Lepisosteus oculatus: one gene and its partners. The protein of the gene in region 3 purifies or fractionates together with the protein of the main gene of each other region. This does not show direct contact. Links are inferred from orthologs where the notes say so. Each region holds a gene or a part of one and is shown on either strand. Other genes may lie near its edges.

Region 1 (7,466 bases), on a different chromosome or scaffold from region 3:
GAGGGATTCCCCTCCGTCGTGCTCCAGGGATCGGCCCACTGACTCCAGGGCTCGGCAGAAGCTGTCAGCCGCCATCTGGAACTGGGTGGGTGAGCAGCCAGGCCCCAGTAACGTACCATCGACACCACTGCTGCACTGTAAGAGACATTAGGGAACCTATTTCAAAATGAGCTCTTTTCTCCCTGCGAGTTCTTCACGATGCATGCATTTATCAGACATATCACATTTCCGTCCTGATGGCAAAAATGTAAAGCATCTAGTCCCGGCTTTTTTTAAAATAAGGTTCTCCATAAAAAGCCGAGACTGTGTTTATTTAACCAGTCTCCAAAACACAGCTGGTCTAAAGAGCATTAAAAAACAACCGAGTCCACTGCTTTAAACAAAAAGAAATGGGGGAATCGCATCCAACTCCCCAGCCACACTGCTCACATTTCAGGCTTATTTTGAAGCCTGCTAAATCTTTCCAACATCAACAGAGGTTTCTTGAGCTAGCTGAAATTGAACAAGGCACAACGCAACATCCCATGTGAGAGAACAATCAGACACTCAGATGGACGTACATTCTTAATTATTGAGCATTCCAACAATGTTTTTCCCCCAGATACATACCTTGTTTCTGATGTAGGCAGCCAAATGTGTTTCTGTACACCCTCCACCAAAAAGCGCAAAGGGACTCTTCAGTGATAGCCTCAAGACATGTTCTGCATTTTGGCACGTCAACTGGAATAAAAAGCCATTTAGATATAAGAGCCCAGAATTAAAAATATTAATGAGTTTACAGTAAGGGAACTGCTGTAAAATGCTAGATTTAAAGAAATCTAAAATGTGCTTTTGAGTTTAATATATGTATAATGCATATAATATATGCATTTGGAGAATGTAAGCAAAGCAACAGTTTCTGTTATCAGTAACATGTAACCTTTGCTGCTGTACATCCTGCTGTACTGACTGTACAAGTTACTGTACTCCAATATACAAAAACATGGAGATATCATGTCATGAATGGCAGAATTTATATTATCTTAACAAATATGGCTTTTGATAGTAATATGATGTATGTAGCATGATAAAAGGTAGAATGCCATTGCCATTCCTTTAACTCAAAGTCTTCTCAAAAGCATTACAAGCAGGTAGGGTAAACAACATGTTATACAGAAATGTATATTTTAAAACACCCGAGTTGTGATTTATTGCCATCTGTTGCTCATTCAAACCTACCGTGAATTCTTCATAGTCTTGACAGATACCAAAATGTCTTCTAGTAAAAAAAGAAGTGATTTGGAACAATTACTGTACACATCTTCTGTTCTTAAAATAATCTAATACAGCCTACCTTGAGCTCATTAAGGGTAGTCTCATTTCTGTTGCACAGCCCCAGACTGCAGACTGTTGAATCTCCAGCTGGGATTAAATTAAGCATCTGTCTAGACCCAAAGCTCTTCACAAGGATATTGCTCAGCTGTCCATAGCACTTGGATGGAACAGGAGACTGAAAACTAGCAATAGGTAGGGCACCTATTTCAAAAGAACAAGGATTTAAAATCATTAAGAGCCAGTCATATTCAAATTTTTAAAAGTTAAAAACAATGTCCATCATATTTGAGAAAACAATACTCTGCAAATCAACAAAAAATGCAACTATGATTCAATTCTACAAACTTTAAATTATACTCTACAGAAGTGACTGGGCTATTTCCATGTTCTCCTCTTTATAATCGGAAGTGAATTACACACCTGTCATTTGACTTAGTGGTTCCATGAGTGAAATCCCCAACCTCTCTATGACAATCACATGATGCTCCTTCAGGTACTGCTTCAAGACAGGATGTACCACCTTCTGACATGCAAGCAGCGCTACACCGTCACTGATGATCTGCTTCCCCATCCTCAGCAGCAGCTCCAGGACGGCTGCTTCTGGGCTGAGGCCACAACTAACTTCCAGCGTTCCGTCCCCCGTCTCAGAAAGGTCACCCGAGAGCGAAGTGTTGAACAGCGCCAGAGTGATGGCTCTGTGATCTAGCCACTTCAGGTCAGAAGCAGACAGCATCTCTGGCATTTCTACCAGCAGGCCAGGAAACAGAGCTGAATCCATCGCTCTGTGGCCTTCGACAGAAACGAAGACCACCTTCCCCAAACAAACACTTCCCTCAGCCTCACAGGGAACTGTCTGCAAGAACGCCTGCACCACCAGTGAGCTGACGTGTTGCACTTCTTTGTAAGTCAACATGCAGGCCGGTTTGCTAGCTATGACACTACGTGCCAGGGACAGCAGAGACTGACTGTTGCCAAAATCAATTCTTACTCTACAGCCACACTCCTCTTGATTCAGATAGTCTTTACACAGGCATAGGAGATGCCTGTACACTTTGAGGGTAATGCCCGTTTCAATATTTAATCTTTGTGCATTTTCGATAAGGGCACAGGAGAGGATAGCTGCAAACAAACCACAATCGCTAAAGCAAGAAATATGGTTCAGAACAGATGCAGTAAGTAGCTTGAGGACAGGGTGTGATGTGAAAACTCCTTTCAGAAGCACTGCTGACGTAGATGTGGTCTGGACATGCCCTCCCACATTGTTATGTATTTGCTTGAGTCTGCCGGTAGGACCAAAACATGATGTGAAGATCTGCCTGAACACTGCCAGTTTCTGACACACTTTATCATCTGATAAAGGTTCAGCAGTACAGAGCGAGGTCTTTTTATTTGACAGACGAGACATCTTTGCTTTAGCCTATCAGAGAAACTAAAGACTTTGAATTTCTTTTAAAGTCCAAGCCATTTTATTTCATGTGGATAATTTACAGAAAGGCCATGCAGATTTATTTATGTCTGACCTCATTTATAGACCCATTTCAAAGTACAACCTTTTTAATTTAAACTTAAATAGCAAGGATCAGCACATAATGGTCTAGTTTGGCTCTTCCGATTGTGGCATCATTACTTGACATCCTTCTGTTTCAATGCAAGATCCGAACGAGTCGAGCTTTTCACAGTCTTTTGCAATAGATATGTCCCAAGGTGAATACCAAGAAAAGAAAGTCCTGCCACAAGCAGCCAGTTCTTCTGCAACCAACTTCTATTGCTCATGTTAGCAGCCTTTAACGAGGGATCTTTTTGTCATTAATTGGAGATTAATTTCTGCCTGAAATGAAAGGGAAAATTACACATATTGTTAGACTAAGAAATACAATAGAGAACTTCCATATTTAATAGATTTTTTTTAAAAATAGCTTCTCCAGATAGGTCATTGCCTGAGTCAAAGCAATTCTATTTTGTGCCATTACATCTTCTATAATATTCACTATGAGATTGCAGATGAACATCAATTCTATTTACCTACAGCACGAGAAATGGCTGGCACAGGCCAAACTTTAGAATCTTCATTTGAGCCACAGAGCTAAAAAATGACAGCCCAATACCTGTGATCAGTATTCTACTGCTTTCCTTTTGGGTGACTTTGCTGTTGGGAGACATAGGACACCACGCCGGGCTCTGGCATGTAACTGTCCTCCTTCTTGTGGAAGATAGGATTTGACTTGATGCTGTACCAACCCCAGTGTACCAGTCCAAGACCCGTGCCCATAACTATAAGCACTTTGTAGTTCTTCCACGCACTTCTTAGTCCCATAGTAACGCTGGAACCTACAAATGAAAACACAGTTTAAAGAAACCAAACAAAAATAAAACAAAATATAAAAAACATCTCCATGCAAATGGTGAAGTCAAACCATGACTGTTTTAAAACAAAGAACCATTTAATTTGTGACGTTAGCTTCATGACTCTTTACCCTATGATCACTTGCATAATGACTGATTTCATAGAAAGACTACAGAGTGAACCATAGCTACGGTTGATAACTGGAAAAATCAAGACACAAAACGTCCGTAGTAAACAAGTATTATTAAACCAAAACCTAGTAAAATATTTTAAATATTCGTAAGGACTTACAAATACAAGTGACAAAAAAGACTCACCTTCAGCAGCTTACAGTTAGAAACACGGCGGCCATTTTGGGTCCTTTCATTTGCGAATTTCCACATATATGCCTGTCAAATATATAAGATGTTTCAGCGCCAAGCACTGCACTATAAGAGACGGTACTATAGTGTAACGAATAATAAGATACAAACTATGAACATGTATTAAGTACTCATTGTTTGTCATTGAAATACACATTCAATCAAAAAACTAGTCGCATCTAATGACACTTCACACTCTGTGTAAACGTCTTTTTCTTCCATTTTTGTTCTTTTAGTTACCATAACAAGCAAACGTCTTCAAGTGTTTTCAAATTCTGCAGTTTCAGCGATCGTTTCTATGGCATCAAGGACGCCTATGGGGGTCCTTCTGTCATCGCAACGTGACCCGTATTCAAACCTGATGGCGGAAAGAGAACGTGGAAACATTTGTGCTGCTTTCGGTACGTAGCGGCTTCGATAAAAAAACAACAACAACAACAACGCAGTTTCCATGTAAGGAAAACCAGAAGCTATGCATTATAAAACATTGTTAAAATAAAATTGCATGTCTATTTCTTAAAGAAAAGGTGCTTGTATTGTTACTATAGTGATAGTTCACAGCTGTTTCCACACATTTCTATGCACTGTAATCTTGTTGACATTTTACGATGGAATGGAATCGCTGTAACTATGTGTAGTATCGCAGCTGTACTTGCTCGTTTTACCTAATACAACTAGGTTGTCGGCCCCACACGTCCCGAAGAGCCTTAATATTCATTACTGTTTTAAAATTTAGTTTGGAAACAAATGCTTTTTAAAAATAAATTTCACTTGAACATGGAATATTGTCTGTATAATTACATTTTAACACATAAACGTATTTATCAGGAATACCGAGGATTTATTAGCGTTAGATGTTTTTTTAAAAAGCAAACCCTTCTCATAACATGTATTTATTGTTCGCAATAACTGTTTTCATACGTGCACTCTCAAGTTGCTTTTTGACGGTGCAGAATTTTAAGACACATTGGACAGAAGGATTTATATCGGTAATAGCATTTTTAAATTATTTTGAGACCAGAGTTGTGCACACATCACTATTGTCATTGCAAAAGTTGTGTTATCAAATATTAAACTATAAGACCATAAGCAAAATGCAAATAATCTGAAATGTATCTCTGGATTTACTTAATAGGAAGTGTGTGTGTGTATCCTTTAAGTTGCAGTGTTGACGGTGCAACACTTTTCCACAGTAAGTTTTTATTTGAAAGATAAAAACGTGATCTAAGGAAAGACACGTGTCAGTAGCGTGCGAGAACCCAAAGCTACGTGTGATATGCTCTGGGGTTTTTATTTCCGCTGGCTTTTTGTTTTTAAAGAAAGCTGCATCAGTCACCAAATGATAACTGTGAACTACCTTCATATTTTATTCTTTAGTTTTCTTTATAAGATTTGGGCAACAGTGTGGAGTTCTTGTACCATACATTTTTGTACAATCATCTCTGCCCCTGCTGATTTTGAACAGCTGTTGTGTTTGACAGCTGTGGGACGGATGCAGAATAACATTCTGCAATCTATCATATTTTCCCCATAACCATTAAATACCAGAACCGCAAGGTAATTAAGGTCTGTATTGTTGTGTATCACTTTGAGCGATGACTCAGTGACAGGTTTTGCAATTTAGGCATGTTTCTTTTATGATATCATCCATAAAATATTTTTCAAGAAAGTGCTGGGAGGAATTGCTTAGTGCATGAATATGTTTTATAATTCTGAGATAAATTTTGCTATCGGGCGTCATAGAAGGTGACGACATTACTGAGTGTGGGAAAATGACCTTTGGGCACAATCAGAAAGTCATTTGTCAAAATGTAATTTTTTGCATGCCCTGCTCATAGTAATGTAAAAGTAAAGGTGTTCAATTTATATTTCGATGTCTATGTTTTATTTGCTATTTTTCAGGTTGTCACTGAATGTCATGCAAAAAATGTCCCCAAACAAGTTTGTAGTGAAGGTATGTAAATGAAGGAATTTATAATATTTTTTATGTTTTTAACTTTTTATCTGTTTTTTTTATGCATATGTGATTTAGTCTGGATTTGTCTTGTTAAGAAAATGCCAAAATGAAAAAAAAATTGTTAAAGGTTGGGACATGGAACATTATTGTTATCTTTTTTGTTCTTTTTTGTAATTTATCAGTTTTAACAAATGGCTGCTGTCACAAAACAAATCTTGTCCATTTGTCCTAAGTGAGATAAGTCTTAATTTTCTATTTCTATTGCATCAGTAATGTATCTACCATTATCTTTGATTTTGGCTGAAGTGTAAAAGCAATATAGCAGTACAGCAAAATTGTACAAAAAAGGAAAAAAAGAGTTATGGGATACTTTTGTTTTCCCTAAGGTTCAAAACTTTTCTTCATGTGTGCCAATTTAGGCTCTGCCATTTCAGTTTGTGACGTGAATGCAGTCCAACATAAACAAGTCTGCGAATTGCTGAGGAAATATTATTCTGAGCGTTACCCTTTTCAGTGCTGAAGACTACATAATGGCTTTATGTGATCAAAGAGATTGTGCAGCCTGCTTTTGTTTCGTTGTTTCTGAAAATGTACTGGCTAAGAGACAAAGGTGTCTGTGATGAATGAACCTTTGGTTTTCATGGTTTGGGAAAGTTTTTTAAGTTTATCAATAAAAATAAAAAAAATATACAAGGAAGTCTCCTCTGAAAATGTTTTTTTTTTTACAATCCATAGTTGTTGCCTGTAGGAACTATTGCTGAGATGTTGCCGATATAAAAACAATCAGTTCTGAGGAAATTAGCAGTGGCTTATTAAATGGTAGCTGCTTGTTATTTCTGTTGTGGCTTTGTACTTCGGGTATTTAAAAACTGTATTGCAATATAAGGGAGCATTCTTAGGTGTATTTTATTTTCAATCTCTGTGCTAATATGAAAAAATGCCTATTAGGCATCACTCTACATTATAGTGTGCCAGCAGCTTTTACAGAAATTGTGAAGAAGTGGAGACCAAATGAAATCATGGAGGGTAAAGGCTGCATAGTGCAGTTTCCTCACCGGGCGCCTGGCAGGGGGATTCCCTGAGCAGCAGCGGCTGAGCTCGGGACCGGAAGCTGCTGTCTGTTCCTGAGGGGAGATGAGGGCAGTCAGGGGGAACGGGACTTCACTGGGTAGCCTCCAGCAGGGGGCAGAGGCGTATTCTCTGTGCACTTGACTCCCGTGCACTTGACTTTTACTTCAGTACGTTTGGGCTGGCCATCCCAGGTGAATAATCAGGGGCATAAGTCAGTCAGCTTATATCTTATATTTGTTGTTTTTATCAGTTGAAACTGGCCTATTGTAACTTTTATGTAATAAAACAAGCACACACTTGGTTCTAAGTTCTTCTTATGAATGCATGATGTGTAAACATCTTGTTCCATTATTGTAATAGCCATGTGACCAGCAGAATTTCAGCAACACCAGAGCCACAGTTAATGTGTGCATGTTAA
Region 2 (7,804 bases), on a different chromosome or scaffold from region 3:
GGTACTTTTCAGTGGATACCAGTGTGAGAGGTGTGCAGACCTGGGAGGTACTTGCTGATAATCTGAGCGGTCTCTGTGGCTCGCATCATGGTAGAGTGGATGAGGACGTCGTACTTCAGACCCAGTTCGGCCAAACGCTGCCCAGTCAATTCTGCCTGCTGTCTACCTGCACAGTCCGATTAGAATACAGGATGGTAAAAAACATACTGTATATTCTCCCTTTATTACCATGCAGTTCACTCTGTTACAAGGACTTATACCCCCAATTCTGGAAAGCCAAATTCATCAGCAGAAACTAGTGTTCATAGTTGTAAATTAGAGGATTAAACTGCACACATTTGAACTCTCAAAATTCTATTGCTTTTGTTTTTAGTCTTGCAAAAGGCATGCCGGGCTTAAGCATAACAAATGTAGTGTAATAATGTAATGTAACAAAGCTTCTTTTTCAAGACATGTCTCATCAAGTCCCAGCAAGGGTGAGGCACGTCAGTCTCGACATTTTGAACATCCAAGGAAAACCAGGTTGTGGTTATAGGAGGTGTAGGTATGCCAGTAGGTGGCGCTATTCCCCCGGACCACAACACACCAGTATGGGGTGGTATGGTGGTGCTGGGGCCAGCCTTGCTACCTCATAGTGCTGGGGCCCCTGGTTCCATTCCAGACCTGGAGTGCTCACAGCATGGAGTTTGTAGGTATTTTCTGTGTTAGTGTGGGTTTCCTCCCACTGTCCGAAAACACACCGGTACGTTAATCGGCTTCTGGGAATATTGGCTCTGTGTGCGTGTCTGTGTCCGAGGCTGCCCTGTGACAGATGGCGTCCTGCCCAGGGTGTGCCCTGCCTTGGCCCACTGCTTGCTGGGACAGGCTCCGGCTCCCATGTGACCCGCAATCGGAAAAGCAGTTCGGCCCGGGGTGGCCGGATCACGCCCACCAGCCGCTCGGAGCTCAGCTGGGAGAGAGAAAGCCGCCAGTCAGCGTACCCAGAGCCGTCAGAGTCCTCTCCTTGTCCCCGCTGCCGTTCAGGTTGTACTGCGAGTGGCGGATCAGCAGGATGTGGCGCGTGGCCTTGGGCTTGTTGCTGTCCAGCTCTGCGGACAGGTCCCCGCTGCTGCCTTGCTTCTCCTCTTTCTTCCTCGTGTTCACGAGGGAGAGGGGCTCACGCCTGGTAGCGGACACACAAAAGAAAACACCCATTTTAGCAGCAGGAATTACACAGCAGTCGCTTGGAAGACACTCACTCCACCCATGTTCTCAGCGCTTCCTCCAGCTCAGGACTGCGGGGGGGCAGAGCCTATCCCAGCATGCAACAGGCACAGGGCGAGATACTCCCTGGATGGGACGCCAGTCCATCAGAAGGCACACACAGACACAGACAGACCTAGGGCCGGACGTCCCTGGAGCCAATTAACCAGCATGTTTCTGGACTGTGGGAGAACATGTGAATTGGCTTCATTACTCTGCTCTCCTCCCCACTGAGAGCTGGTGTGTGGTGAGCGTTCTGGCGCACTATGGCTGCCGTCGCATCATCCAGGTGGATGCTGCACATTGGTGGTGGTGGAGGGGAGTCCCCATTACCTGTAAAGCGCTTTGAGTGGAGTGTCCAGAAAAAGCGCTATATAGGTGTAAGCAATTATTATTATTATTATTATTATTATTATTATTATTAACATACAAACTCCACACAGATAGTGCCCCAGGTCCAGGACTGAACCCCCAGGGCACTGCCAGGCAGCAAAGCTGACCACTGAGTCTGAACAAACTCCGCTTCTGGCCTTCAATCTGGCATTTAAACTCCAGATCAGCAGAGAAAAAAAACAAGATTCTGTGGATAATTCCACTGCCACACATGGCTCTTTTAGAAGTATTTTCCATTGCTTTCTCCGTTTTCTATGTAACGTGATTTTTCTATATTTTTCCTAGCTAGAGACATCCACGATTAAAGATTAAAAAAAGATTAGACCAAGGAGCTGGAAGGCCTTGGGCTTGGGTATAAGTCCCAGTGGATGTATGCCCCATGTGGGATCGATTCCAGTCGCTGGTACTCATTAGATTTTAGGGTGTCACCATGCAGTTTTGATTAGGGCCCTGGACTCCCGACCGGAGCAACACGGGTTCAAGTCCAGGATGAAGGTGATGTTGTATCCTAGAGCAAAGTAGCTCACTCAAGATTGCTCCAGTAAACGGACGCTCTCGGCAGGTTACCGTTGTAAATGTGAATTTGTCCTCATGTGATGTGTATGTGGTTAATAAGAAATTGTGATTTTAATGATGTGCTTCTTTCGGTTTCAATACCGCTAGTGTTTCAAATGTAGGAAGTACTTTCAACTTGCGCACCGCAGTCAAACGTTTGTTTAAACAATAAGAAGTTCCATGTTTTAACTTTGTTTTTATACTTCTTTCTGTCTTCATTAAACTCTAGTTAAAGACGGTGAGACTTCTTAGAGCTTGGCCATAATTTACATCATGTCTGCAGAAGCCTTTCAAACGTTATAACCCCTCAATTCGACTAAACGTGAGCCGGCAATGGTAACTCGGCGCTTTAAAAAAAGAAAGGACGCACTTATCCCAGTTATGGTCCCAGGCGTTTCCACTCGGCGGCACGGTGTGTTGGTTCCCTGACGTCCAGGTCTGAGCAGCTTGAAGCACTGCCAAGCTCGTCCACTTTCTGGGGCTCTCCCGGGATCCCGCGTCCCCGAAAGTCCCCCGGGCATCCGCCGCCGCTGCCACCGCTACCAGCACCGCTGACCCGCCAGCGAGCCCGCACACCAGCCTGACAGCCCTCCTAAACGACATGCTGTCCGACACAACCCGGCCGCAGGTCTAAAAACAAATGGCGAAGACGCCAGACTGCTGTCGAGATCGAAACCTGATGCACTGTAGCAACAAAGGAACAGACTGACTAGCTGAGGATAAACCGGCTCGGGTCCACTGAGCGCAAACAGGTGATGAAATAAGTGAGAGGAGGAAAGCCCGGTAACAAACCTACACCCTAATCCTCAGAATAATCGAAACCAAGACATGAACTCGCACAACGTCTTAGGAAATAGAAAACCGGGTTGCAATACATGTGCCCGCTTCGGACAAACATACAGAAATACGAAACGCGAAATGGGTGGCGTTAAAAGAATGAAAGATGGTTTTGATACTGAGAATTCGTAACAGTCTAGGTATTTTCTATACAAAAGATGTTTTATTCTGCAGTCAGATTGTGGTGAAAAACCTGTCATAGGTTTTTAAGGATGCGATTTAGACATAGAATAACCGAGACAGAAGAGCCACATTTTCTGTTAAACTCTTCACTATAACGTGAACCTGCCACAATTTTCCTTCTATTCAGTTACTACTCAAGACACGAGAGAGGCTGACACCAGGTATTAGAACTACACAATCAGTCTTACACAAGTCACCAGTGTGTATACCCTTGGATTCACGAGTTTAGCCATTTTCCAAATCCTCGTCTATTTTCTTTCCACTGGACAGTTTAAGAATGCACATATCTCTCAGACTATATGATCAAATGCCACACGCCTCTCTCCCTCCACGTATCTGTAACAGCATCTATGTACACATATCTTTTGGCCCCTGGTTTCCTTTCCACCCTGGACTCTTATTACAATCAGGTCATTAAAAGGTTCACCTAATTGTATTAATACTAATCTGTATTACCACTGTTTTCCAAGAATTGACCAGTTGGTTGCCTATAAGACCTAACAGTCTGCGGGACCATCAGGAATTATCACTGCACTAGGACAAAACATTGTCTTTGGTAATCGTCGAAACGTGTTTATTTTCGCTTAAATGCTTAACCTACACACCTCATATTCAAAAAAGACTTATTTTAATGTTTTTGGTTGTGTATGACATCATTTTGTAATGCTGCTTGTTTATTGGACAGGACTCCGCTGTATCAGGTCAGTGGGTGTTTCTTACGTGTTACTTTACTGTGACTTTTAACTCTTCTATAACTAAATAAAACATTCATCTTTAGTTCAAATATGTTGCTCAGCAGTAGCTTTTAGACTTTCCGCGAATTCAATTACTATTGTTATTTTCATTTTGAACGCTAGGGGGCGCATGAGGCATACAATGGACCGAGGGAACGTACTGTATGAGCTCGAACATCTTCATATATCTTTAGTGCGGTTTGCTACGTGTTTGACACAATCTATCAAATATGCTCATTCAGCTTTGATAATAAATAAAGAAGGGTGATTTTTCCTCGCGGTTACAAAGAGCGACACCGTGAGCTTATAGAATATCGGGAATATTTCTAACGATATGTCAACTCTTAAAAATGACAGGTGAAAGTTTTTTTTCTTAGATGTACAATGTTTAAATATGGGCATGGAGTGCTAGGAAGCACAGCACAACGCGGTAAGTCATGCCAAGTGAGAGGAAACAATGATATAACCGTAAGACACTTGTCATTTTATACTTAAATAGTCTCAAGACCAAGGTTTATACTTGAAAACTGATCTCCGACGGGGCTTTAAAAGCACACACACACACACTTTTAATAATACCATCAGCAGGAGAAGGCTGATGCAGACGCACAGCGTTGAGCGTGTAACGCGGCACCACGTGAGTCTGCTCGATTTAAATGTCATGCACTTTCCGATGCAAAGCCGGGCACCGCCACGAAATCTTCACAAAGACGGATACAGCTCTCGCAAGGCAGCGGCATATATTATGTATGCTAATGTGAAGATCTGTGGCCGTGGTCTCAGACGCCCTTTTCTACGTGAAAGCTCCACCTTACAGCGGTGTTCTGACCTCAGCGGTGGGCTGGATCACAAGGGAGGGATTTTCAGGCTTGTGCTGGTGTGGGGAGCCGTATTTCTGTCTATCTTTGGATCTGAGTGTGTATTTTACATTAGCAGCAGGAAGGGGGGGGGGAGACGGGTTTGCCTAAATAGCCCCGTCTGCAGACATCGCATTGGATCTCCGTATTTGCGTCTCCGATTGGAATAAATAATTAAGGAATGTGGAAACTACAGAATGCCCAACAGCACTGCAAAGAGATTTAAACCCACCAAATACATCCCGGTGTCTACTGCAGCTACTCTTCTCGTGGGCTCCACTACTTTATTCTTCGTTTTCACGTAAGTTTTGAGAAGGTTTCCGCAGATCCGTGCGTGTCTTCGCAAGCTCGTTAAAGTGATGGGGAGCTTTGAATGAGAAGCCCTCGCCGGTTCTGCTTTGCTGTTTACAGTGAGCATTATCGCAGCGAGCCGGTAGTTGCACTGGATGAATGAGGGGTTATTTTTCTCGAGATCAAGCCAGGCCTTAGTGATTCTGGCACACTTGTGTTACTTGTATTTCTTAAATTATTCCTGGAGTGTCATAAGTGTATCACGCCTTGGGCTAGCTGGAGAGAACTGATTTTCTCCCGTGGACGGCGCAATTGTTTCTCTAAAAAACGTTTTATAAGTTGTTTATTTTGCATTTTTGTTTGTAAACTTACTAGATTGAGGCAATAACTAAGGTGTTTGATGATATGGACAGCTCGTCTGAATCGAGTTAACGCTAACTTGCGAAACTTTGTAGCTAGTTCCACTTGGAGCTCGTTAACAGAAATAGCATAGCACCAATTGTGGTACACGGATGAAACCACAGATTTTATGAAAAGAAAAATACTGATCACGGAGCTGCTCTAGGCCGCGACTTCCCAAGGTCCTCTTCGATAGTAGCAGTAAATTAGTAAAAAAAAAGGTCGGTTTCACACAATGCATTTTTTTAATCGTGAAACGTAATGGATTATTGTGAGCTACTCAGCAGAACAAGAAGAGAGTCTAGAGATGCCATAGCCGTTGCAAGACTTTTCGTTGCCTGGAAATTAGTTTCATTTGCATGTGCTGGGCACCACGGCATCTAGGATCTGCCGGATTTCTGCTGTGAACCAGGAGCTGTTTAATGTTGCCGGGGCAGCGACTGGTCAGGATATTCCGGGCGACTATTTTCTCGGCTCCCGATTCATTTGGATTAGGACAAGTGCCCACTAATGCTAGTTAATTGGTCTTCTTTGAAGGATTGAGGCACACCGGTTATCAAGAGACCGGGAAGTTGTTAACGATGCTGCTGTTGATCCGGTTGTTGGGGATGTGTCCGGATTTTTACAATCATATGTATTTTTGGTGTAATAGATTTTATATGTGGTGCAGTGGTTAACATTGCAACCTCTCAGTGCTGGGGTCCCAGGGTTCAATTCCGGACCTGGGGTGGTGTCTGTATGGTCTTCTCATGTTCACGTGGGTTTCCTCCCACAGTCCAGAATCATACTGAGAAGTTAATTGGCGTCTGGGGGAAACTGTCCCTAGGTGTGTGTGCCTTGTGATGGACTCATGTCAACTGACAAGGCAACAGTGAGAGCGCTGGGAATGTCAGTTGCGTTTTACTGATATAGAAAACATTTATACGTTACATTTATGGGTATCCATCTTTGTGCAAAGCTATAGATCAAATATTCAGTTGCATTTTGCCTGCTTAACTATGTGAAAACATGATATTTTCTTCTGAGTTTTTAAGCTCTTGTAAGAATCTCACCACATCCGTCTGTGCTCTTGTAATGAGATTGGTTGATCTCTGTGATGCTTCCTACATCACATGTGGCGGTGAGTTCTTGTCTTGTCGCCTGCACTAGCCAGGTGTCGGAGGCTCTGCAACGCTGGCAGTGTCAGTATTGGGATGAGAGACCTCCAAGGACAACCAGGTTGCTGCTGTAAGTGATGCTGGTGGACCAGTAGGTGGCACTCTTTCCTCTGGGCCAGAATTTCCAAACCAGTGCCCCAGTATGACAATAAGGGACACTGTGCTGTGCAGCTGCTTTCCTTTGGATGAGATGTTGAAAGTGAGGTCTTGACTGCTCTGGTCATTAGCAATCCCATGACACTATTGGAAAGTGTTGGGGTGTTAACACCGAGATAAGATAAGATCACTTTATTAGCCATATACAATTTCTTGCATTAGGAATTTGTCTTTTCGCGTACCCCAGCTTGTTCTCCATGAGACGCACAGACAGGAAGAGAGAAGCTTGGGGTCAGAGCGCAGGGTCAGCCATTTATACGGTGCCCCTGGAGCAAGTGGGGTTAAAGGCTTTGCTCCGGGGCCCAACGGAGTAGGATTCCTCTGCTGGCCACGGGATTTGAACCAGCAACCTTCCAGCCATGGGCACAGCTGCCCCGATATCTGATAGCCTGATTAATGTCTGCTCTGGGCCTGCACAATCTGGCCTCCCTCTAGCTCTCCTTAATTCAGTTAGGTTAATGTGGTGAAGCAGTTTCTCACTCCTCCGCCCAATCTGCTGGTCTAGAATGGCTGCTGTGTGATATTCAGCTATAGTTAAAGTGGATCCCATCCTTTATAAAAAGTGCTGTGGGATCATTTGAGAGGAAAGGCGCTATTTTAATACATTGTCTAACTTTTACAACTGATGGGTCAGATAACTGTAACTTTCAGGTGTATAGTTTGAAAGAAGTCACTGCAATGGAACGCCTTGTGTGGCTGCTTTTTAATCATTGTGAGATGCTGATCAGAAATTATGATCCAGATAAAGTGAGAAGAAATAATTTTCAAAGGGTGTTGTGTTTTCCTCGACTTGTTTCTATTGGACAGATGAACAAATTGAAGTGAACTCAAACCTGGAAAGTCTTTTTTATCTGCAAATCAGGCCATTTTGTTACTCCTTTTCTGAGCCTCTACAGCATGGGGTGTGTCTGGGGGGGTCGTCCGTAGATGGAGAGCATTTTTTGAGTTGTGGGGATGAATTTTATCCACAAGATCTAATGACAATGAAAAGAAAAAGAAA
Region 3 (7,058 bases):
ACCTCACCGTCACCTGGAGTGTTTTCACACTCCGTGAAAACAGTGTGGAAAAGCCAAGATGGACATAAAAAACACACATGAGAACAGGCAACCAATATAAAAAGATAAAATGAAATATGCTAAAAGAATACGAGATCTGCATTTCTGAATAGTTCTGATAGGGTGACCTGTAACGGTGATTTTCTGGTGAAGACATCAGTGAAAACCTGTGGCCCTGATGAAAAATGAAGCGCTTTTGACTTTAATAGTTGGAGGTGTTTGGAACCACCTACCCACGACATTTCGGAAACCTTTCAAATTCTTACAGAGTCCTTGCTATGAGCGATACACAAGACTTTCACGCTTTTCTTAAGGGTGAAATGTGTCCGGTCCGAGGACCGAAGGTGACCGTGGGGATTTAAAGCCCTGGAGGTTCAGGAGCCCAGTCTGACCTGGTCCCGAAGCTGTCGTGTGGCGGTCCCGCCCCGTGCCCAGGTCCGTGTGCGTCAGTCTCTCTGGGCTCAGTCTCTTAAACCGCTGCAGGCGCCGCACCACCTTCTCCTTCACGCCCATCCTCCCTGGGCCCTGGACACCTGGAGAGCGCGACAGGTGAGCACTGAGGACTGCAGACCCCTGCTCCATCCCTTCACAAGCAGACGGATGCAGAATCGTTTGGCAGGATGGCTGGGCTTGACATTTGATGCATGCAAGTGCAGGGTTCTACCTGCAGGTGAAGTGTAATATAAAGCAACACTGAGCTTCAAGAGCCTATCAAAGAGACACTTATCCATCCATCTTCGAAGCAGTTTATCCAATTCGGGGTCACAGGGGAGCAAGCATCGGGCACAAGGCAGGGTACACCCTGGACGCAGTGGCAGTCCAGCACAGGGCACACACTGACAAACACACACACACACTTACACCAGGGCCTGTTTTCCCAGAAGCCAATGAACCTACCAGTAAGTCACTGGACTGTGGGAGGAAACCAGAGAGAACATACCAACCCCATGCAGATAGTGGCCCGGGAATTGAACCCAGGGCCCCAGTGCTCTGAGAAAGCATTGCTAACGACTGTGCCACCCATGTCTTACTTTATTATTAATATTACTATTGTAGAACATTCGAGGAAAAAGGTGAACAGGGTGTCAGGCTATATAGATGAAAAGTGCAGAATGGAAACTACAGGATGTTATTTATAACAGCTCATAATGAACAACTGCAGTGGGCACATTACAAAAAAAAGTGCAGCTCTGGAATCAGTGCAGAGAAGAGAGAAAATCCTGGGATTCAAGTACAGTCACACTCTGACAAGCTTCAGGAACTCAACTGCTGTAGTCTTTAACAGAGAAGACAGCAGTATGACCCATCAGACTTCTTTAGATCCAACAGTGAAATACAAGTGACAAGCAGAAACGGCAAGTACAGAAAGTGGAGTCGTGACTCAGGACAGGAGGCTTTTCTACACCACGAGTTGTAGGAGTGTGGAACAAGCTCAGCTGTGCTGTTGACGCCAACACCTGGGCTTCTCAATGAGATCCTTGAGTCACTTAGCCAGGAGCAACCAAGCAAGCCATATGGCGTCTACGCCTTCCACTGACTTTTCATTTCTCTTATGGTATCACTGAACCAAACACTGGAAGCCAACTACAATGTGCAGAAAAGCTCAGGGAGCAGTTTCAAGGAAACATTCAAAACAAGGCCAACGGTCAGTACATGACATGCAGGCGGCAGATTTGAATGCTGGACACGGAAACGACGAGGGGGGCAGAGCGAAGGCGGGGGTATGCGGTCTTCTCCTACCTCGGGGCGAGGCTTCGCCGACGCTGACCCCCGGAGGGGCGCCAGAGGGGTCACTCTCCGGGGCTGGGCCCACCGCAGGGGGCACGGCGGCCTGGGACGCGCGGCCTGAGCCGCACCCCTTCCTCTTCGAGCCCGGGTCGGGCCCCCTCCTACCCCCGGCTCCTCTCCTCAGCCTGCCCCGAGCTCTCGGAGCCCCGATGTCCCTCCGGTGGCCATCCTCCCCCTCCGCCTTTTTCACCCGTCTCAGCACCTTGGTGCAGAGCTCGGTGAAATCCTCATCTGAGTCTTCCATCCGTCTCCCCCGAATCCCAGCCCCTTCCAGCCGGGGGCGTCTAAGGGCCCCTCGCTTCACACCCCATGTTTAAGGCTCATCCACAGCGGACACTAGCCCACTGAACGCCCCCTGTCGCCAAACACTGTGGAAACAGCAAACAAAACTCCATCAGCTCCCGGTGAGAGGAAAATCAAGGGAGAGCAACGGCAAGAAGTCTAAATCACAGCCCTGAGTTTTGCCATTTTATTTGATCTGATCATATTCTAGTTTGCAGACAGAATGACAGAAAAGTGCAAAAAAAATTACAATACAGTATCGGGAGATAAAGCAGTAACAATACAAAAGGATACGCAAAGAGCACGGGGTGAAATCAGAGCCCAATGCACCCGTCCTCTTACGTTACAAAAACGATCATTTTTTACAGCACATGTCCGTTGTCATGCGCCAAACTACAGTTTTTAACACATTTTACGTCCTGATTTTTCAGAGATCGAACTTTTAGTTTAAATTCCTAAATACATCAGTTCGTCATACGATGAACGAGTACAGAAATGCGCCTGTCTTCAATGTAGCATCTTCTGAAGCATGCACTGTAACCACTTATGCACAACTTGTCTAAATTATTTGAAGATATAAATTGCATTAAAATAATTTGAATGTAATTGGTGCACTTGGTGCAAAACCGCTAAGAGATTTACATTGTGATAACTCCAGCTAATGAACCACAAATAAAAACATTTCTCGACGTCTTGCGAGCAAATCAGAACCCGAATCTGAGTTCTATGCCTTCACGTTTACCAGATCATATGGATTTCATTTATTTTTTTAGGTGTTGTTTTAAAATATGACACAATTCAAACTCACACAGAACCCGCTGGGCTTTGTACTTCCTGTCACATGCCCACCGCCGTACCGTCCACGTCACATGACAAACCTCAACTCACATGATATCCCCACTGGGCGTCACAGAGAAAGTATTTTGCACGTAATCCTTTGCGGGTTTTTAACAGAATAGTTCTAAGCTATTCTATTTTATAGAAAGGTGCAACATTTACGTTTGCACGAAAATGTATGCTTTTGGCTTAAGTATCATTCAAAACATTTTTGTGCTGTACCTAATCGAACCTACATTTCATTCTCCCATAAATGTCTTGAATTGTTTGGTATGATGGCTTTCGTCATGTTGTTAACCCGTTATATGTTAACCTCGGCCAGTGATTCCCATACACGTGCTAGACAGGGTTCAGATCCAGACTTTGGTGAATGAGGACTTTTTTATTGGAGTCTTTTTTGGTTTCCTGGTGAACATACCAATGCTAGCTTCTTACAATGCAACTGTAGTGCTACAGGGCCCTCTTACCTTGGGTCTGGCCAGCCAGAATGCACTTTCTACACATTGCACTCTACGAAGGCGGGTATTATGAAGTGGAGGAGCTCATCGACTACTCACTCTATCCCAGCCCTTGTGGAAGCTGACTCCCCTGTGATTCTTTAACATGCCTCATGCAGAGGGTCTGGAATTAGTACTGCAGCAATCTTCCCTGATCCCTATGGACATGTAGGCGAGCAGAGGCACAGGCTCAGGGTTTCGTCTCCTTTACTGATCGATGCAGGTGTGTGTGCTGATCACAGGGAGAGAAGAGAACAAGGAAAAGGTGTCCCTAAGGTACAGAGAAAAGGAAACATCTTTCCTTTGTATAGGGGGAGAGAAACAGGGAGATCTGAGTGAAGATGAAATGCACAGTCTGCCCAAAGATTTCAGATGCTGTGTGCAGGTAAACACCATTTCCTTTGCTACTGTTGTTAATTCCGCTCTAGAGCCAGCATCTACAACCCTTTTCCTAGAAAGCTGCAATCCAATTTCTAGACTGGATTGATTAGATCGGTGATCTGTTAATTTACAGACAATTTGGAGCAAACAAACTTCAGTCGTCAGGGACCAACCTGCTTTTAACTAAACAAAGAACATGCATGCGTCATTAATAACTTAAAAGTGTTTCCAATCCTCAAAAATAAAAAAGTTAGAATGCTCTATAAAATCATGAATGACTAGGGCACTCCACAACTAGTGTTGAAGAGACCTGCTTTAGGGTTTTCCACTAATGGTTTTAAAATCTTTCAGAATCTAAATATGGAGCAGAACATATTTAGACAGCCTTCAGAAACATTCGCAAAAAGTATTGAAGCCTCTTTATTACCAACTACATTTTTGAATGTTAGAATTCACAGCTACCCAATAAAAACGAAAGGCTGAAAGAACACAGACATTCCAGGCTAATGAACACGTAGGTTTGTCTGCGTCCTTTATCATTCCCAACTAAACTCTTAACAGAAGAATGCAGGGATTTTATTGAGACAATATCCAATTTCACCCCTTTCACATCTGCTGACCCTTTCATCACAGTCACTAACAGTTAAGCACAAACATACAACAAGTGCGAGTAGATGGTTCAGGGGGCACAGATCAGCTCACAACAGCACTGCCTGAATATAGTAGGTTAGGAAGATAAAGGACCTGCTTCATACCCAGGAAAAATCATTTGATGTCGGCCCTAATGAATATTCTCCATGCAAGGAATTACTTTGAAAATGAAGAAAGAGGATTCGAATGAGTCTTTTCTGAAGATGCTTCCTCACTACTGCGATATTGAATTTAAAGTGAAGATCCATTGGAGCCCACTTCTCGATCTCTGCTGTAATGGCCTCTTCTATGGGGTTACTGTAAACGTCCTCTTAGGGCAAGGCTGCAAGACCAAAAGTTATCAGAGTCGATCTCTTGCTCCAGCCCCAGAAATCCTGGATGAAACGTCCAGTCCTTGCACTGATTCCAGGCCCTGCTGCCTCCTGATGCAGCCTGGCAGCCTGGCAGCCTGTGTTCGGCGCTGGCGGGTCCGAAGGGTCAGTGCTTCTCCAGAGCTCGGGTCAGCAGCTCGTTGAGGCGGCCGATCATGGGGCGGGGGTCGTCGTTGAGTCCTGCCGCGATCATGGCGTTGTCGTAGATCTGCAAGGAGAGACACTGCGCTGAGGGACAACTTGTTGTGCTGGAAGAAACAAACAGCTGTGACAAAGACATAAAATGGCCAGGATATAAAGTGTAAAGGGGATGGCATGGTGGCGTTGTGATCAGCACTGCAGCCTCAGGGAGCTGGGGCCCTGAATTCAATCGTGGGCCTGGGGTGCTGTCTGTGTGGCGTTTGTACGTTCTCCTCGGGATCGTGTGCGTTTTGTCCAGGTGCTCCGGTATCCTCCCACAGTCTAAATGTCACGCCCAGTACACTATAGAGGGTGCTCTACTTCTCTCCTGTTCCTGGTGCCCTGTGATTATTCATGTCTTTCCGGTGTTCGTTGTTGTGTAGCCTATTTACTTCCTGCTTCTGCTCTGCTCCTTCGCACCGGCCTAGCGCCAAGTCACTCCTGTCCGTGGCCTGAGGGCATAGGTTCATTTCCTGAACAGCTGAGCTCGGGCTAACCCCCGTCTCGCCGCTACGCATAGGGTCTTTATCGCTCTCCTGCCATTCCACGGTTTGTCCCTTCTGACATCCGTGATACGAAAGACATGATGGGAAAACCGGTTTGTTTGTGTCTGGGTGTGCCCTGTGATGGACTGGCATCCTGTCCAAGAGCATACCCTGCCTTGCGCCTGTTGCTCGCTCCGGTTCCCATGCCATCCTGAATCAGATGAAGCAGGAAGAGAACGGATGGATGGATAAAGCACAAAACAGACGTTCAAACTCCTCCGATTTGGAACACTGACCTAGTGCATGGGTTCCCAGTCCTAGCCCCTGGAGGCCAACACACCCCAACCCCACGTCCTTCGCTAATTAGAACTACCAAGTTGTTTAATCAAAACATCTGCATCCCTTTGCTGATTCTGGGCCACTCGGGAGCTGGGGATTTTAAAGCTGGACTGAGCACTGTCTCCAGCTCCACAGGCTCGACTCCACTCCGCTCTGCGGTGCTCAGACATCACAGCAGCCTTACCTGCTCCAGCAGTAACTGCGCCAGATCGGGGTTCGAGTCCTTCAGCTCATTCAGCTTCTTGATGAGGTCGTGCCTGATGGAGAGAATAATTGTTTACAGCTCATTTGGGGAGACAGAAGTATACCTGTGGTTTTGGGCATGCCTCCAGGATCTGAGGTACTTTTCCTCATCTTTCGGCATCTCTGTGAATATTCTGCTTCAGCCCCTCTTTTCAGTAGTCAAGGCGTCTGTGTAAATCTGATTGAAGGCAACCAACTGGCTTTAACTTGGATCCAGAAATGGATTTGTGCAATTTAATAATGTGACATTTTAAGAAAGCTAAAGGGTGTTGTTCTCAAAGGACTTGAATATTAAAACATTTATAAAGATCAGGGAAAGGAAGACAGCCGGCAAATTTGTTTTTAATTTTTGAGGACTGCAACGTTTGTTAAAATAATCCTAAAAAAGTTTCCAGAAATTCCAGCCACAACGGCTACATGCAGCAGAAATCAGCTTGCATCTTAAAACCTTAAAAACTTAAAAGTTTTCAAACTCAGACAAAGGCCTCAACTGAAGTAGGACATATTACATCGAACACGTACTCCAGGTGACAATACTGCTGCCTTATCCCACTGTGGAAGGTAACGGAGTAATTTGGAATCTGTTAACCTAGTCTTCTGCCGCCTATACGAAAAAGTACGTCAAAGGAAGAGAAAACTGAGTTCTATTAACTGCTGCAGAAATGAATTTCTGTAAAAAGTGAAAAAAGCAGAAGCAAGAAACTTCAAACTTCAGGACAAAACCCCTAAGATGTGAAGTGAACCTCTGTCATGTATCACATGTACCTATACTGCATATAAGAGCTGGGGGAACCTTTGCAGCCTGTCCCCTTGCTCGTCACAATTCCCACAACTACTTTTGTTTTGTTGCACCCACACTATGCACCTGCTACACTCACAATCAGCCTGGCAGTAGAGCAGTTTGAGTCGGTGTCACAACACAACAACATAAAACCACAAACTGACCGCCCTCACTCTCAGTGCCC

Evidence for each region. Proteins that work in one complex are often made in the same cells at the same time.
Region 1: the proteins of slx4 (region 3) and slx4ip purify together in Homo sapiens (affinity purification with mass spectrometry; 6 studies listed by BioGRID and IntAct, with this or other methods). This does not show direct contact. The link is inferred for Lepisosteus oculatus from reciprocal best matches to the Homo sapiens genes SLX4 and SLX4IP.
Region 2: the proteins of slx4 (region 3) and pgam5 purify together in Homo sapiens (affinity purification with mass spectrometry; 4 studies listed by BioGRID and IntAct, with this or other methods). This does not show direct contact. The link is inferred for Lepisosteus oculatus from reciprocal best matches to the Homo sapiens genes SLX4 and PGAM5.

Annotation. Positions count from the first base shown.
Region 1 is NC_090712.1:7,013,046-7,020,511, forward strand, and holds the start of slx4ip (protein SLX4IP), read left to right. Parts: upstream 1-4,387; 5' UTR 4,388-4,471; coding exon 4,472-4,473; intron 4,474-5,922; coding exon 5,923-5,974; intron 5,975-7,466. Other genes in the region: molecular chaperone MKKS, read right to left, coding at 1-135, 610-720, 1,334-1,515, 1,735-2,719.
Region 2 is NC_090717.1:3,106,830-3,114,633, reverse strand, and holds the start of pgam5 (serine/threonine-protein phosphatase PGAM5, mitochondrial), read right to left. Parts: upstream 3,080-7,804; 5' UTR 2,794-3,079; coding exon 2,561-2,793; intron 1,163-2,560; coding exon 981-1,162; intron 167-980; coding exon 41-166; intron 1-40. Other genes in the region: palmitoyltransferase ZDHHC8B, read left to right, coding at 4,999-5,102. UniProt on the Homo sapiens protein: Mitochondrial serine/threonine phosphatase that dephosphorylates various substrates and thus plays a role in different biological processes including cellular senescence or mitophagy. Modulates cellular senescence by regulating mitochondrial dynamics.
Region 3 is NC_090714.1:3,249,150-3,256,207, forward strand, and holds the start of slx4 (structure-specific endonuclease subunit SLX4), read right to left. Parts: upstream 3,004-7,058; 5' UTR 2,918-3,003; intron 2,888-2,917; exon of another isoform or gene 2,852-2,887; intron 2,841-2,851; exon of another isoform or gene 2,752-2,840; intron 2,196-2,751; 5' UTR 2,072-2,195; coding exon 1,780-2,071; intron 573-1,779; coding exon 432-572; intron 1-431. Other genes in the region: trap1 (heat shock protein 75 kDa, mitochondrial), read right to left, coding at 4,953-5,054, 6,035-6,107. UniProt on the Homo sapiens protein: Regulatory subunit that interacts with and increases the activity of different structure-specific endonucleases.